Sus scrofa: one gene and its partners. The protein of the gene in region 1 purifies or fractionates together with the protein of each later gene. This does not show direct contact. Links are inferred from orthologs where the notes say so. Each region holds a gene or a part of one and is shown in the gene's direction. Other genes may lie near its edges.

What was found. The genes of interacting proteins can lie anywhere in the genome.
Region 2: the proteins of SSRP1 (region 1) and MCM6 purify together in Homo sapiens (affinity purification with mass spectrometry; 4 studies listed by BioGRID and IntAct, with this or other methods). This does not show direct contact. The link is inferred for Sus scrofa from reciprocal best matches to the Homo sapiens genes SSRP1 and MCM6.
Region 3: the proteins of SSRP1 (region 1) and PAF1 fractionate together in Homo sapiens (co-fractionation; 3 studies listed by BioGRID and IntAct, with this or other methods). This does not show direct contact. The link is inferred for Sus scrofa from reciprocal best matches to the Homo sapiens genes SSRP1 and PAF1.
Region 4: the proteins of SSRP1 (region 1) and CSNK2A2 purify together in Homo sapiens (affinity purification with western blotting; 3 studies listed by BioGRID and IntAct, with this or other methods). This does not show direct contact. The link is inferred for Sus scrofa from reciprocal best matches to the Homo sapiens genes SSRP1 and CSNK2A2.

What each region holds. Positions count from the first base shown.
Region 1 is NC_010444.4:13,618,353-13,622,520, forward strand, and holds the start of SSRP1 (FACT complex subunit SSRP1), read left to right. Parts: upstream 1-1,368; 5' UTR 1,369-1,529; intron 1,530-2,026; 5' UTR 2,027-2,111; coding exon 2,112-2,165; intron 2,166-2,600; coding exon 2,601-2,786; intron 2,787-3,438; coding exon 3,439-3,544; intron 3,545-3,836; coding exon 3,837-4,027; intron 4,028-4,131; coding exon 4,132-4,168. UniProt on the Homo sapiens protein: Component of the FACT complex, a general chromatin factor that acts to reorganize nucleosomes. The FACT complex is involved in multiple processes that require DNA as a template such as mRNA elongation, DNA replication and DNA repair.
Region 2 is NC_010457.5:15,933,638-15,937,137, forward strand, and holds part of MCM6 (DNA replication licensing factor MCM6), read left to right. Parts: intron 1-1,030; coding exon 1,031-1,196; intron 1,197-1,466; coding exon 1,467-1,612; intron 1,613-3,184; coding exon 3,185-3,335; intron 3,336-3,500. UniProt on the Homo sapiens protein: Acts as a component of the MCM2-7 complex (MCM complex) which is the replicative helicase essential for 'once per cell cycle' DNA replication initiation and elongation in eukaryotic cells.
Region 3 is NC_010448.4:48,045,987-48,050,112, reverse strand, and holds the end of PAF1 (RNA polymerase II-associated factor 1 homolog), read left to right. Parts: intron 1-40; coding exon 41-142; intron 143-222; coding exon 223-328; intron 329-416; coding exon 417-673; intron 674-915; coding exon 916-1,032; intron 1,033-1,129; coding exon 1,130-1,258; intron 1,259-2,469; coding exon 2,470-2,575; intron 2,576-2,682; coding exon 2,683-2,773; intron 2,774-2,852; coding exon 2,853-3,268; 3' UTR 3,269-3,626; downstream 3,627-4,126. UniProt on the Homo sapiens protein: Component of the PAF1 complex (PAF1C) which has multiple functions during transcription by RNA polymerase II and is implicated in regulation of development and maintenance of embryonic stem cell pluripotency.
Region 4 is NC_010448.4:19,985,725-19,989,224, reverse strand, and holds part of CSNK2A2 (casein kinase II subunit alpha'), read left to right. Parts: intron 1-2,295; coding exon 2,296-2,379; intron 2,380-3,378; coding exon 3,379-3,489; intron 3,490-3,500.

The sequences.
Region 1 (4,168 bases):
CTAGGGGGTCGAATCAGAGCTACAGCTGCCGGCCTATGCCACAGCCACAGCCACGTGGGATCCGAGCTGCTTCTGCGACCTACACCACAGCTCACGGCAACACCAGATCCTTAACCCGCTGAAGGAGGTCAGAGATCGAACCCACATCCTTGTGGAGCCTAGTTGGGTTCATTAACCATTGAGCCACGAAGGGAACTCCCACATTGGGTATTTTCTTGTTCTATTTTGTTTTACCATCAGTTTACTTATTTGAATCATTTATTAGATGTCACATGCCTGGAAAACTGGGGCTGTTTCCATCTTGTTTACTAGTTTCCACAAATCCTATCACTGTGTTAGAGTTCAACACATATCTGTTGAATCTAGTTGGCTTATGTTGCTAGATAGCGTGGGAACAGCCATTACCCAGAGGTTAAAGTCGTGAGTTCAGGGAGCAACAGTGCATTCACGTCATCTTGTGTCCCAAGCTGGGGTAACTGTAGGTCAGACTGTCAAAGAAATCTGGAGTTTAAATATTCTGTCTCAATGTTTTGTATACTTGACATCTATTATCAATCATTCCGAATGGAGAATCACTAGACGGGCTAAGTAGATTTTGGGTTTTGTTCCCCAGGCCACTCCTCTTAGGGCCTCAGTTTCCCGATCTTCAAAAGGAAGCTGGAGCAGACGAATCCAAACATCTCTTACTCGTCCAGCCTCCTCTGATTTTGCGAGGTGCACCCTAGGACTCCATAAGGGGGATCTGGCTTATGAAAGCCCAGGCTGCTGTGATTTCAAATCAGTTCTGGCTCCACGGTGAATGTGACACCAGCACTTGAACCTGATACCGCCGCCGCCGCCGCCGCTGGCCAGCCTCTTCCAGGAGACTCAAACCTTGCATTTATCGATGTCAAGTTTTGGGGTGCAGTGAACTCACTTCAAAAAGGATCCAATCCCTTGTGACAGGGGTGAGCAGTATAGTCACAGCGATACCAACACTCGCATTCTCTTCGAAGCCAGTGGGAGGGGTCATTTCTCTCCACAAGTCGTTAAATATTTTCCTTCTTGTCCTACAAACTCCTTTCTATTCCACAGAAACCACTATGGGGCGGGAGAGAGTCGCCCGTCATTGCTACGCACGCACACGCATCTTTGGCAAGTCTGATAAAATGCAACTACACAGTTTCTCTTTAAAGTCTTGTCGTTCCCGGAAGGAGTGTCTGTGATTTTTAAAGAGCCCGACACGCTCCCATTTTCTAGTCGGACGCCAAACGGGCGGGACATCAGTGTAACCCGGCTTCCCTCAGGTCCTCCAGCGCTGTGGACGCTCTATGGGACCGCCTCGAAGGCGGGCCGCGTTTCGCGCCTCTCTAGCCGGCTCCTCCTCTCTATGGTCCGTGCTGGGCTTCCGGTGGCGGGACGCGGGGCCGCGCACGCGGGAAAAGCTTCCCCAGCGTCCCCCCCGGACCCCCCGGACCCTACACCCCCGCTGCGTCCCCCAGCGAGCCCACCGCCCGCTTGCGGGCCGTCTGAGGCCGCAGCTTGAGAAAGTAGGTGGTCGCTATCGCCGCGCCCCAGGAAGGCGAGGGCCCTGCTCCCCCGCGGGACGCGTGGGATGGACTGTTCCGCGTTGGAATCCGCGGGCAGCGGGCGAATCCATTTTAGCGGGAGGGGAGAACTGTGGGCCTGGGGCCGCGGCGCGGTGGGAGCGCTGGGAGGGAACTCGTGCTTTTTGAGCGGGGTTGGGGCGCGGGCGAGGTGCGGGCTCCGGATGGCCCAGGGGTTCCGCTGCTCGTTGCCATGGCGCCCGGTGGAGCGCCCAGAGGGGGTGTCTGGTTGGGATGTAAGAGGTACTTCGGGCCGGCTTCTTAAGCCCCGGCCGGGCCTGGCCCTGGAGTTCTGCAGAACCGGCTTGCAGGGTTCCCAGGCAGGGAGATCGTGAGACATCCCAGGCACAGGAAGGGTTGCCACTAGGCTCCCTCCGTGGCCAGCATGAGGTGTTGTTTTTTCCACTTAACTTCAATCCACTTATCCCTCTTCAATTCAGATTCCCAGCCTGCGTTGTGTATCTGCACAACGTACCCAGGAGTTGGGGCCCAGCTCCCAGTTGAGGCCTACAGGGGCAGGTCAGCATGGCAGAAACACTGGAGTTCAACGACGTGTATCAGGAGGTGAAAGGCTCTATGGTAAGAAGGACTGGGGCTTTTGAAACAGATGGAGGGAGGGAGGCGGAGTAGACTTTTTATCCACTCGCAAGAGCTTGTGCTGATGATGTTGCTACTTTGGAAAAGAAGTCAGTTCGATGTGTATTTGGTAGTTCCCCAACAAGAAGCATTACTGAGTGAGGATACAAGAGTTACAGGATGTCAGAGTTTGAAGGGACTACACCTGCTGCTCAATCCTGAATCCCCAAACTGAGGACCTGCACGGGTTCTGGATGCCAGAGCGAGGATTAGAATCCAGATCTTCTGGCCTTACTCGTCTCTTCTTGCCAGCCCTCACCACTTCAGCTGTTATTGCTCCTGCCTGATACCTGACCAGCCCAGAATGGGTGTTGGGTGGGACCGTCCCTGCTCTACGCTATGGTCGTCCCTGTGCATTTGGGCCTGTTTTCCCAACAGAATGATGGTCGGCTGAGGTTGAGCCGCCAGGGCATCATCTTCAAGAACAGTAAAACGGGCAAAGTGGACAACATCCAGGCTGGGGAGTTGACCGAAGGGATCTGGCGCCGAGTAGCTCTGGGCCATGGACTTAAACTGCTCACGAAAAATGGCCACGTCTACAAGTACGACGGCTTCCGAGAATCGGTGAGATGCCCCTTGCCATAGCCCCCTTTACTGTGCCATCTTCTTTAGTTTTAATCTTCTTGAGAGAAGTGGGGCTCCTTCTGATAACCGTGCAGTTGCTAGTTTGGGATCCTTAAAGCAGGACCGTGGAAGCCATTAAGCAGTCAGTGTTCAGCTTTGGGCTGCAGAGTCTCGGGAGTTTCTTTGTGCTTTAACTCCAGAAACTTTTCTACTGTTTTGATTTTTTTTTTTTTTTTTTTTTTTTTTTTTTTTTTTTGGTGGTTTCTGCCTGTTGCCTTATCCAGGTTCAGGGGCTTACCTTGAGGTTTTAGGTTGGTGTTGTTTTTCCATTTTGAACGGCTTGTGTTAAAGACTTTACTTCATTTCCACTTTCACTAAAGGAATACCTGTCCAAAGTCAGAAAAACACTGTGAGACCTGCAAGCAGGAGTGTCAGTCCTTACTTTACTCCTCCCCCAGCCCGAGTCCAGCCAGTCCCCAGAAATAGCCTTTTTCAACAGTGTTTTAACAATATTATAGCTCTAAGTCAGCGTGGATTTCTGATGAAAGTTTATTGGGGTCGTTTCTCAGAAGCAGATAATCTCAGGACCCTCAAGTTCTGTGTTAAGGCTACTGGGGTTTCACTGGGCTTGTTCTTTCCCCTCTTCCCACAGGAGTTCGAGAAACTCTCTGATTTCTTCAAAACTCACTATCGCCTTGAGCTGATGGAAAAGGACCTCTGTGTGAAGGGTTGGAACTGGGGAACAGTGAAGTTTGGGGGTGAGTCCTGGGGAAGATTGAGGTTTGCGGGGAGGAGGTAGGCTGAAGGGTTTCAGCCTTTAACTTGTTTTGCTCTCCTCCGCTGTTTCTGATTTCCTACCAGTTTGTAATTCATCACGTATTTATCGAGGACCAACACTGTATGAGGCACTGTGCCCGGTCCCTGGGGCACAGTGCGAACAAAATGGTCTCAGTGCCCTGTCCTTTGGGAGCCTCTAGGCTGGTAGGAAGGAACATTGTTTATGCGGAGCCGAGGGAAGGAGCTTGTGGCTCAGTGTGCCCTTTCCTACAGGGCAGCTGCTTTCCTTTGACATTGGTGACCAGCCGGTCTTCGAGATCCCTCTCAGCAACGTGTCCCAGTGTACCACAGGCAAGAATGAGGTGACACTGGAATTCCACCAGAATGACGATGCAGAGGTCTCTCTCATGGAGGTGCGCTTCTACGTGCCCCCCACCCAGGAGGATGGCGTGGACCCCGTTGAGGTGAGGCCTCCCCTGGTCTCTTGGGAGCAGATGGTGCTGAGCAGGCCCTGGGTGGCCCAGGAGCAGGATCTCTGCTGCTCGATTGCCAGGGTGTGCTCTTATAGGCCTTTGCCCAGAATGTGCTGTCGAAGGCGGATGTGA
Region 2 (3,500 bases), on another chromosome or scaffold:
TAGATAATCAAAAACGATTTAATTCTCTTGGTGGGATTGATAGTATTCCTAGGAAATGGATGCTAAAATATTTGGGGACGAAGTATCTTGAGTTTTGCAGCTTCTTTCAAATACTACAGTAAAAGTATGTGTGCGTTTTAGGAAATGTTAACAGTTGTTTTGAGGTGGAGAGTATAATAGATGTGAAGTTTTTCATAAAATTTCCCTGACAGTTTAGAGGAAGATGGAATACAGAACAGATATTTAAAGTCAGTTTGAACAAAGAGAAAGAAGTATTTCTTAATGAGAGTAAAAGTGAAGTTGAAGTTTTTAATAGTTGTAATCTCTTAGCAAACTGAAAGGACTTTTATGGTAGAGATTTTTTTTTTTTTTTCCCCCCCTAGGGCTGCTCCCATGGCATATGGAGGTTCCCAGGCCAGGGGTCTAATTGGAGCTGTAGCCACTGGCCTACACCAGAGCCACAGCAACGCAGGATCCAAGCCGTGTCTGTGACCTACACCACCACTCATGGCAACGCCAGATCCTTGACCCACTGAGCAAGGCCAGGGATCAAACCCGCAACCTCATGGTTCCTAGTCAGATTCATTAACCACTGTGCCATGATAGGAACTCCTGGTAGAGAATTTTTAAGATGAATGTTGGCACATGTCAGAAGTATGTAGGAGTTGCCATTGTGGCTCAGTGGTTAACAAGTCCAACTAGGAACCATGAGGTTGTGGGTTCAATCCCTGGCCTTGCTCAGTGGATTAAGGATTGGGCATTGCCATGAACTGTGGTATAGGTCACAGACGTGGCTTGGTCTGATGTTGCTGTGGCTGTGGCTGTGGTGTACGCTGGCAGCTGTAGCTCTGATTAGACCCCTAGCCTGGAAACCTACATATGCCGTGGGTGCGGCCCTAAAAAAAAAAAAAAAAAGTCTGCAAACTGGTAAGATAATTTAGGATATGTCAATAATTGTGGCATTTAATTTAGATTGCATGGCATTTGAAAAAGATGACTTCTCATTCTTGGCCATTTGTCTTTGTTACAGGTTCGTATTCAGGAGACTCAAGCTGAGCTTCCCCGAGGGAGTATCCCCCGCAGCCTAGAAGTGATCTTGAGGGCTGAAGCTGTGGAGTCAGCTCAAGCTGGTGACAAGTGTGACTTCACAGGAACGCTGATTGTTGTGCCTGACGTGTCTAAGCTTAGCACACCAGGTCAGTAATCTGTGGCTCAGATTTAACAAATTCTTGGTTACCTAACCTACAGAGTATCTGGTTTCTTGTATCTTCCTTGTCTTGTTTTTGGCTACCAATCAGAGGATGAGCAAGGAACTATGACGAGAATAAAGACAAATTGGTTTTGCTATAGAAGGTACTGTTCTGAAAAATTTCAAAGTCTAAATAAGTTTCATTTAACTGAGCAATTTTGATTCACAGCACCTTGAATATTTGAACTGTGAAACAACCTATCCTTCGATCTTTCAGGAGCACGTGCAGAAACTAATTCCCGTGTGAATGGTGTTGATGGATATGAGACAGAAGGCATTCGAGGACTCCGGGCCCTTGGTGTTAGGGACCTTTCATATAGGCTGGTCTTTCTTGCGTGCTGTGTTGCACCGACCAACCCAAGGGTGAGTTTTTTTTTTTTTGTCTTTCGTCTTTTAAGGGCCATGCCTGTGGCCTGTGGAGGTTCCCAGGCTAAGGGTCTACTACTCCACAGCCAGAGCAACGTGGGATCTTAGCCACATCTGTGACCTACACCACAGCTCACGGCAATGCCAGATCCTTAACCTACTGAGTGAGGCCAGGGATGGAACCCATGTCCTCATGGATGCTAGTCAGGTTCGTTAACCACTGAGCCATGACGGGAACTCCCTAAGGGTGATTCTTAGAATAGCAAAGCTTGGGAAAGACATCTGCTGATGCTGCCACAAAGTTATAATCTTCTGAAACTCGGTTTTAAAGGCAGGGGGGTGGGTTGAGATTTGTTCTTGAAAGCAGATGTTTTTGTGTCTGTCTGTCCCACCTTAAAGAAAAATCTTACTTGTTTTCATGCATAAGCACCGAGTACTTTAAAAGCATTGGTACAAATAATCCATAGCGTTTTTGTTTTTTTTTTTTTTCATTTTTAATTGTCGCAGTCCCTCTGTCATGCTCCTTGAGAAAGTATAAATAGAAAAACTTTAGTAATCTGAAGGTACAGTATAGCACTCTTTCTGAGAGTGACGTATCCCTTGTATTATAGTTCAGAACTTGATTTTGTGTCCAGGATGGGAAAGCAGTGAAAAAATGTTTGGACAGTAGTTTAGTACTGGAAAATGAGAGGGAAACATAATACTCTGTTACTTCTTTCATCCTCATATCAGTGATTAACATTTTATTATGGCTCATCTCTTGAGTATCTAGATTCATTTATAGCAATACGAAAAAATGGTAGCTTTTTTGTTACTTTTAATTCACTGGACAGATGATAAGTTCTTCAGTGTCTTGATAAACTTAGCCCATAGTGGTTAAGAAATAGTTTTTTATTTTTTTATTTTTTATTTTTTTTGTCTTTTTGATATTTCTTGGGCCGCCCCTGCAGCATATGAAGGTTCCCAGGCTAGGGGTCGAATCGGAGCCATAGCCACTGGCCTACGCCAGAGCCACAGCAACGCGGGATCCGAGCCGCGTCTGTGACCTACACCACAGCTCCCGGCAACGCTGGATCGTTAACCCACTGAGCAAGGGCAGGGACCGAACCCGCAACGTCATGGTTCCTAGTCGGATTCATTAACCACTGCGCCACGATGGGAACTCCCGGAAATAGTTTTTTAAAATAGGGCCATACTCATGGCATATAGAGGTTCCCAGGCTAGAGGTTGAATTGGAATTATAGCTGCTGGCCTATACCACAGACATAGCAATGCCAGATCCGAGCCATGTCTGCAACCTACACCACAGCTCACGGCAGCACTGGATCCTTAACCCACTGAGCGAGGCCAGAGATCAAGCCTATGTCCTCATGGATGCTAGTCCGATTCCTTTCAGCTGAGCCACTATGAAAACTGGTTAGGAATTTTTTTAAAAAAAAACTTTACAATCAACAGATTTTGAAGTTTACCTCCCAGGCTTTATTTTATTTGTGCTGACATTTCTTCTCTTTCACATTATTTTGACTATTTCTGTACTACTGTTTTTTCCCTTTCTTCTCCACCATTCAGTTTGGAGGAAAAGAGCTCCGAGATGAGGAGCAGACGGCTGAGAGCATTAAGAACCAAATGACTGTGAAGGAGTGGGAGAAGGTGTTTGAAATGAGTCAAGATAAAAATCTATACCACAATCTTTGCACAAGCCTGTTTCCTACTATACATGGTAAGAGTCCTTTTATCCATTTGTGGTCTAAACTTGAAATCAAAATAATGATTATATTTTTTAAATTTTTAATTTTTTTCTATTAAAAAAATTTTTTTTTTTTTGTCTTTTCTAGGGCCTCACCTGCAGCATATGGAGGTTACCAGGCTAGGGGTTGAATCGGAG
Region 3 (4,126 bases), on another chromosome or scaffold:
GGGCGATGGGGTCCTAAAGTGCCTGAGCCTTCCATCCCAGATCCCAGCAGCATGCGAAGGTGGTGCCATGGATGCGGAAGACAGAGTATATCTCCACGGAGTTCAATCGTTACGGCATTTCCAATGAGAAGCCTGAGGTCAAGTAAGCTGGTGGGTAGGGAGGGAAGGTGGAGATATCAGGTGCGTCTAGTGGTCCCTAAAGGCCTTTCTGTTCCTTCCTAGGATTGGGGTTTCTGTGAAGCAGCAGTTCACTGAGGAAGAAATATACAAAGACAGGGATAGCCAGATCACAGCTATTGAGAAGACTTTTGAGGATGCCCAGAAATCTGTAATTGAGGGACTGGGATGGGGGGAGGCAGTCAGCGGGGTGGCTTCAGAGTGCTGTGTACTCCTCATCCTGCTTTTGCCCCTATCAGATCTCCCAGCATTACAGCAAGCCTCGAGTGACACCAGTGGAGGTCATGCCTGTCTTTCCAGATTTTAAGGTCAGATCCAGGGCAGGAGGCAGAGAGGGATCGCCTGTGATCTCTGGCTGTCCCATTCTAATCCCAGTGCCCTCCATCCCCCAGATGTGGATCAACCCATGTGCTCAGGTGATCTTTGATTCAGACCCAGCCCCAAAGGACACGAGTGGTGCAGCTGCATTGGAGATGATGTCTCAGGCCATGATCAGGTAAGTGGTCCTGCTGCTCACCTTGGCCTGCTCCTTATTGGCCCCCTCCCCACCCACCCACCCCCATTCTTTTTTGGGGGGGGGCGACACGAAGAAGTTCCCTGGCCAGGGACTGAACCCACACCATAGTAGTGATCCAACCCACTGCAGTGACAATGCCAGATCCTTAGCTGCTGATACACCACAAGAGGATGCCCATCTTTGTCTTTGTTTTTAGCTGCTCCTCTTTTCCTCCCAACCAGGGGCATGATGGATGAGGAAGGGAACCAGTTTGTGGCTTACTTCCTGCCTGTGGAAGAAACCCTGAAGAAACGAAAACGGGACCAGGAGGAGGAGATGGATTATGCGCCAGATGATGTGTATGTGGGTTGGAGTTAGGTTTGGGGTGTTAAGGAGTAGGTCTCTTTTTCTCCTTCACAGGGAAGAAATGGCTGACCCTGTCCCCTTCATCCTTAGGTATGACTACAAGATTGCTCGCGAGTACAACTGGAATGTGAAGAACAAGGCCAGCAAGGGCTACGAGGAAAACTACTTCTTCATCTTCCGAGAGGGGGATGGGGTTTACTACAATGAATTGGAGACCAGGTACTTAGCACTGTCCTACCTCACTGAGATTATCTGGGCTTGTACTTCAGATTCAGGACCCTGGGGTATGCAAGTGCCACCTCGGAGGTCATTTGTACCTAAGGATTTGCCATGTGCATTTGTAAGAGCAGGAGCCTGATCACCCTTGCGGGCTAGACCTGGTTCTAACATAAGAACCCAGGAAGACATTTTTTTTTTTTAAAGGGCTGCACCTGAGGCATATGGAGGTTCCCAGGCTAGGGGTCTAATCAGAGCTGTAGCTGCCGGCCTGTGCCACAGCCACAGCAATGCCAGATCCAAGCTGAATCTGTGACCTATATACCACAGCTCATGGCAATGCTGGATCTTTAATCCACTGAGGCCAGGGATTGAACCCGCAACCTCATGGTTCCTAGTCAGATTTGTTTCCACTGCACCATGACAGGAACTCCAGGAAGAAAATCTTTACCTAACTAATACTGGAGATGTTTAGTGTTCACGTAGGGTAGACTGCCAAGTATCCCCTGATGTTAGTAAGAGACTTCACGTGGAAGTAAACATAGCCGAAGTATAGAGTAATGCATAAAATGAGCATGGCTATTTTAAATGAAACACTAGATATCCAAGTTCAACATGTGACCACCTAAAAGTTTTCCCTGATGGCGAAAACGGCTGTGGTGGGATCCTTGGTGTGTAAAGACTGGCAAGGAAAGTATGACCTTGAGTTTCTATTTAAAGCAGAGATCACAAATTTTGATCCCATTAAGCCAAGCAAGAAAGGTAGAAAGCACAGTAGGCTATCGGGGTCCAGATGACTTGGAGCTCCTGGCAGCCTCCAAGGGGCACCATGACACAGCCCACTGCTGCTATGCTGTGGGGAGGGGGTGCAGCAAGGGCCGAGTGGGGTCTTATTTTCCAAAAGCCAGAAATCCAAATTCTAAATGTTAATACCTAATTCACACTAAAATCTATTTATTCATACACTTACGTGTATATGTACAGGGCATACATACACACACATACACAGCGCAGGGCAACTACACTGCTATCTCGGGAGCTGTCATCCCTGTCCCCAAGTTTAGCCTCCCTTATGCAGTCTGTATTTATTCTGGGCCAAGCGTAAATGAGTAAGGATGGGTAAGGAAGAACCAAGTCAGTCCAGCTTCCCCACAGGGGTGAGTTCTTTAACCGAATCTCTTCCACATCCCTCTCCCCCAACTCCACCGTTGCAGGGTCCGCCTGAGTAAGCGCCGGGCCAAGGCTGGGGTTCAGTCTGGTACCAATGCCCTGCTTGTGGTCAAACATCGGGACATGAATGAGAAGGAGTTAGAAGCCCAGGTAACAAGCACCACGATCCAGGGCACCCACGGGGAGGGTGAAGGTTGGTGAGGAGAGAGAGGAGGTGTACAGAACACTCTCCTTCCCCTCACCCCTGCTGCTTCCAGGAGGCACGGAAGGCCCAGCTGGAGAACCACGAACCAGAGGAGGAAGAGGAGGAGGAAATGGAGACAGAAGAGAAAGAAGCTGGGGGCTCAGGTAAAGCTGGACCAGCCAAACTCTGGGAGCCCGGGGAGGGTCGAGAACTGGGTCTCACTTCTTCATGCTCCTTTCACAGATGAGGAACGAGAGAAGGGCAGCAGCAGTGAGAAGGAAGGCAGCGAGGATGAGCGCTCGGGCAGTGAGAGTGAACGAGAGGAGGGTGACAGAGATGAGGCCAGTGACAAGAGCGGCAGCGGCGAGGATGAAAGCAGTGAGGATGAGGCCCGGGCTGCCAGGGACAAAGAAGAGATCTTCGGCAGTGATGCTGATTCAGAGGATGACGCTGACTCTGACGATGAGGACAGAGGACGGGCCCGAGGCAGTGACAATGATTCGGACAGTGGCAGTGATGGGGGTGGCCAGCGGAGCCGGAGCCACAGCCGGAGCCGGAGTGCCAGTCCCTTCCCCAGTGGCAGCGAGCATTCTGCTCAGGAGGATGGCAGTGAAGCTGCAGCTTCGGATTCCAGTGAAGCTGACAGTGACAGTGACTGAGTCCCAGGGCCTTCAGGGCTGGAGCAGGTACAATTACTACGCGCAGGAAGGCACTTTTCAAGTGGTCTATTTGCAAGCTTTCTGCTTTGTTTCTCTCTCCTCCTCCAAACCTTTGCTGTTTAATAAAGCCACCTTCCTTTACTTCCCCTCCCAGGCACTACAGTCTCCTTCTGCCCCCTCCTCCCACCCCCACCCCCACAGGTGCTTAAGGCACAGAAGCAAAGGCCACAGAGGTAGGGCCACTAGGTTTTCCATGAAATGTAGCATAACAAAGGTCAGAATCCTTTTTGTTTGTTTGTTTTTTCTTTTTTTCCAAAATAAGCCCAGACCATTAAACAAGTGAAACTCCAACAAATAAGTTTTCTCCAACAGCGAGAAAAACTGTACAGTTACTCAAAGCTGATTCTGCCAGTGGGGCTAGGGATAAAAGGGAGGGTGAAATCATGGCAGAGGGGCCAGGGGCTGGGGAGGGATGGGAGTGGGTCAGGATCCTGCCCATCAGAGTGGGGCGCCTGCGTCCTGCACACTCTGTCAGGTGGTGGGGAGGGCAGCAGCTCTTGCCTCCCGCTGTGTTTGGGGGTGCCCCTCACCACCTCCCAGTGCCTGGCAGACCCAGCTCACTCTGATGGGTAGTGAACAGGACAGGACTGCTGGGAGGAGGTGAGGGTCTCTTAAGAGGGACACCCTGCTGATTCCAAACGAGGTGGCCCCTGTCCATCCCACTTCCCTGGGCTGGGAGGAGGACTGGGGAAGCCCTGGGAGTTGGAGGGGAATGAGCAAAGGCACAGAAACATGGAGGGGCCGGGGTGGGGGACTTGCATAGGTTGATGAGTGTGCAAGAGGTACATAAATAAACCT
Region 4 (3,500 bases), on another chromosome or scaffold:
AATAATGCACAGGACTGCTACCCGTAACAAAGAATCCTCTGGTCCAAAGTGTCAATGGTGCCGACATGGAAAAGACCTAATCTTGTCTCTTGGACAATTCCATCTTATAAGAGCTCTCAATGCCAGGCGCATCAGTAGGTACTCTTAAGATTGTGGATTGCTGTCATCATTACTCAAGGAGTACTTTATGGATAAGACATAAAATGTGGGACTCATAGGCTTCAAGGGCTTTTTAAGACAAGCCAAAGGGCCCAACGTTGAAATTTATGAAAATTTATTTTCTGTATTGGAAAACGCAGATTTAGAAGCAAATTTTTATATTCCTTAAAAACAAACTTAACCCAAGTAAGAAATGGGTGAAAGATTTGAATTAACAATTGTCCAAAGAAAAGATGTGTAACCTGATCATTCATTATAGAAATAGCAAAACCATAATGAAATACCTCTTCAAACCCACTAGAAAGGCTCTAATCAGAAAGATAAACAGTAACAAGTGTTAGTGAGGATGTAGAGAAACTGGAGCCCCCATACATTGCTAATGGGAATGTAAAATGGTTCAGCCACTTTGGGAAATAATTAGGCAAACTCTTGAAAAGTTTATTGTAATTATAGCCCAGCACTTCCACCTTTAGGAGTCTACCCAAGAGAAATAAAAACATATGTCCTCTAAAAGACTTTTTTTTTTTAACTCCTTTTTTTTTTTTTTTTGTCTTTTTGCTATTTCTTGGGCCGCTCCTGCGGCATACGGAGGTTCCCAGGATAGGGGTCGAATTGGAGCTGTAGCCACCAGCCTACGCCAGAGCCACAGCAACGCGGGATCCGAGCCTCGTCTGCAACCTACACCACAGCTCATGGCAACCCCGGATCGTTAACCCACTGTGCAAGGGCCCAGACCGAACCCGCAACCTCATGGTTCCTAGTCGATTTGTTAACCACTGCGCCACGACGGGAACTCCTCAAAGACTTTTTTACATCAGCAGTGTATTCGGTCACTGGAATACTACTACAAGGAAAAAAAGCAACATGGATGAATCTTAGAAACGTTATGCTTAGTGAAAGAAGATAAAGAACTGTATAGGGAGTTCCCGTCATGGCGCAGTGGTTAACGAATCCGACTAGGAACCATGAGGTTGCCGGTTCAGTCCCTGCCCCTGCTCAGTGGGTTAACGATCCGGCGTTGCTGTGAGCTGTGGTGTAGGTTGCAGACTCGGCTCGGATCCTGTGTTGCTGTGGCTCTGGCGTAGGCCAGTGGCTACAGCTCCAATTCGACCCCTAGCCTGGGAACCTCCATATGCCGCTGGAGCGGCCCAAGAAATAGCAAAAAAGACAAAAAAAAAAAAAGAACTGTATATATTATTTCATTTTATGAATGTCCAGAAAAGGCAAATCTGTAGCAACAGGTGGTGGATCAGTGGCATAGGTCACAGCTGTTGCTGGGATTCGATCCCTGGCCCAGAAACTTCCATGTGCCATGGGTGTGGCCAAAAAAAGAAAAAAAAAATCTTAGCTGCGTGTCAGTGGTCTTACAGGAAGCAGTTTTCTCCTTCAGAGTCATAATTCTTTAACTGGATCAGGGATTGTTTTTAAGGAAAATTCTAATATTAGAATACATCTTAGTCTACAAAACCCACGTGGGATTTTGTAAAAGACAGGCCACACTGCCAGTATATTTAGATGTCATTCTTCATGTCTACATGGGTTCTTACATGTCATTTGAAACTGGCATGAGGAATGACTCCACTGAGGTTCCTAGATCTGGTTTTAGGCACACCAAATTAGACCAACAGATTCATGTACGTTTTAAATTCATGCGACTAATAGTTGCTTCCAGCCATAGGTAGAGACAAATGCCCAAAGAAATATGTAATTTCCCCCTTTTAAGAAATCTTCATGGATTTCCTGCTGTGGCATTCTGCAGCACCAGGATGCAAGTTCAATCCCCGACCTGGTACAGTGGGTGAAGGGATCTGGTGTAGCTGCAGTGTCGGTCTAAACTGTGGCTCAAATCTGATCTCTGGTCCAGGAACTCCATATGCTGCAGGGTGGCTGAAAAAGGGAAATCATCATAGTCCTTGGTGACTCCCCTCCACAGCCCCCATTCTGCTAGCATAGTGTGCTCAGAGAGCAAGGGGTGCCTTCTGAAGCATGTTTTTTGTTGTTGTTACAGACAGTAAGCTGCTCCTTGGGAGACTATTCAAATCAAACTGGTGCGAACAAGTACTAAGAATATGCTTGCATTGGGAGGAAGGTGATAGAGGGTTTGCTTACTTTTCTCTGTGCTTTCTTATCTAATAGGCTCTGGATTACTGCCACAGCAAGGGAATCATGCACAGGGATGTGAAACCTCACAATGTCATGATAGATCACCAACAGAAAAAGGTACCATTACAGCCAGGCAGTGCAAGCCTTTCATTGAAAGACTTTGGCCAGTACCTAGCTGGTTTATAAAGACCCATGTTGTTTTTTTCTTTGGAAGACTTGTGATGTTGTATTTCTTCAGTCTCCAGTGTACTTGGCGTAAGCATAGTACACAAGGAAAGTAGACAGCTGACCCTAAGTGTAGTTACTTGTTTACCTTGATGATGGTTTTCCGGGGGGCCTCAAGAAAGAAATTACGGTTGCTGATTTCTACTTCCTTTCTTAACGATCCTCAGACCAGTCGGCCTGGCCTTATGATTAAAAAGTACACTTGGATGCCACCTCTTTTCAGTATTCAGTCCTGATTGTACCTCACTGGTGAATAAATGAATTAGCTAGTGTTAGATTAATGAAAAGCTAGAGCAGTGCTTCAGTCCTAGAACAGGGCACATGCTCCATTTCTTTCTGTTATGACTAGAGCTTTATAATGAAAGCTGTCAATAATGAGGTGGATGTGTTATCACATGCAACTGGATGGAGGCAGAATAAAAACTTAAGCTTTATTGATCTAAAGAGAATGATAAGGAGTCCCTTTTGTGGCTCAGCAGCTTAAGAACTCAAACCCTTGTCTCTGTGAGGGTGCGGGTTTGATCCCTGGCTGGCTTAGTGGGTTAAGAATCCAGCGTTGCCACAGTATAGGTGACAGATGTGGCTTGGATCTCACATTGCTGCAGCTCTGATTCCACCCCTAGCCTGGGAACTCGAATGTTCCCCAGGTATGGCTGTAAAAAGGGGGAGGGGTAAAAAGAATGATAAGCCAGGATAATTTAAATTTTTAAAAGAAAAAGCAAGTAAGATTCCAGGTGCTCTGCTTTAGAAATAATCTTAAATGTAGTTGCTGAAAGTATCAACAGTGTACTTTATGTGGCCAAATACTTATCTAAAATGATGTGGCCTTGTTGTAAGACACAGGCATCTAAAAAACATTCCTTTCCCACGTTTTATTTGCCATACTTATAGCTGCGACTGATAGACTGGGGTTTGGCAGAATTCTATCATCCAGCTCAGGAGTACAATGTCCGAGTAGCCTCGCGGTACTTCAAGGGACCAGAGCTCCTTGTGGACTATCAGGTAAAATTGTT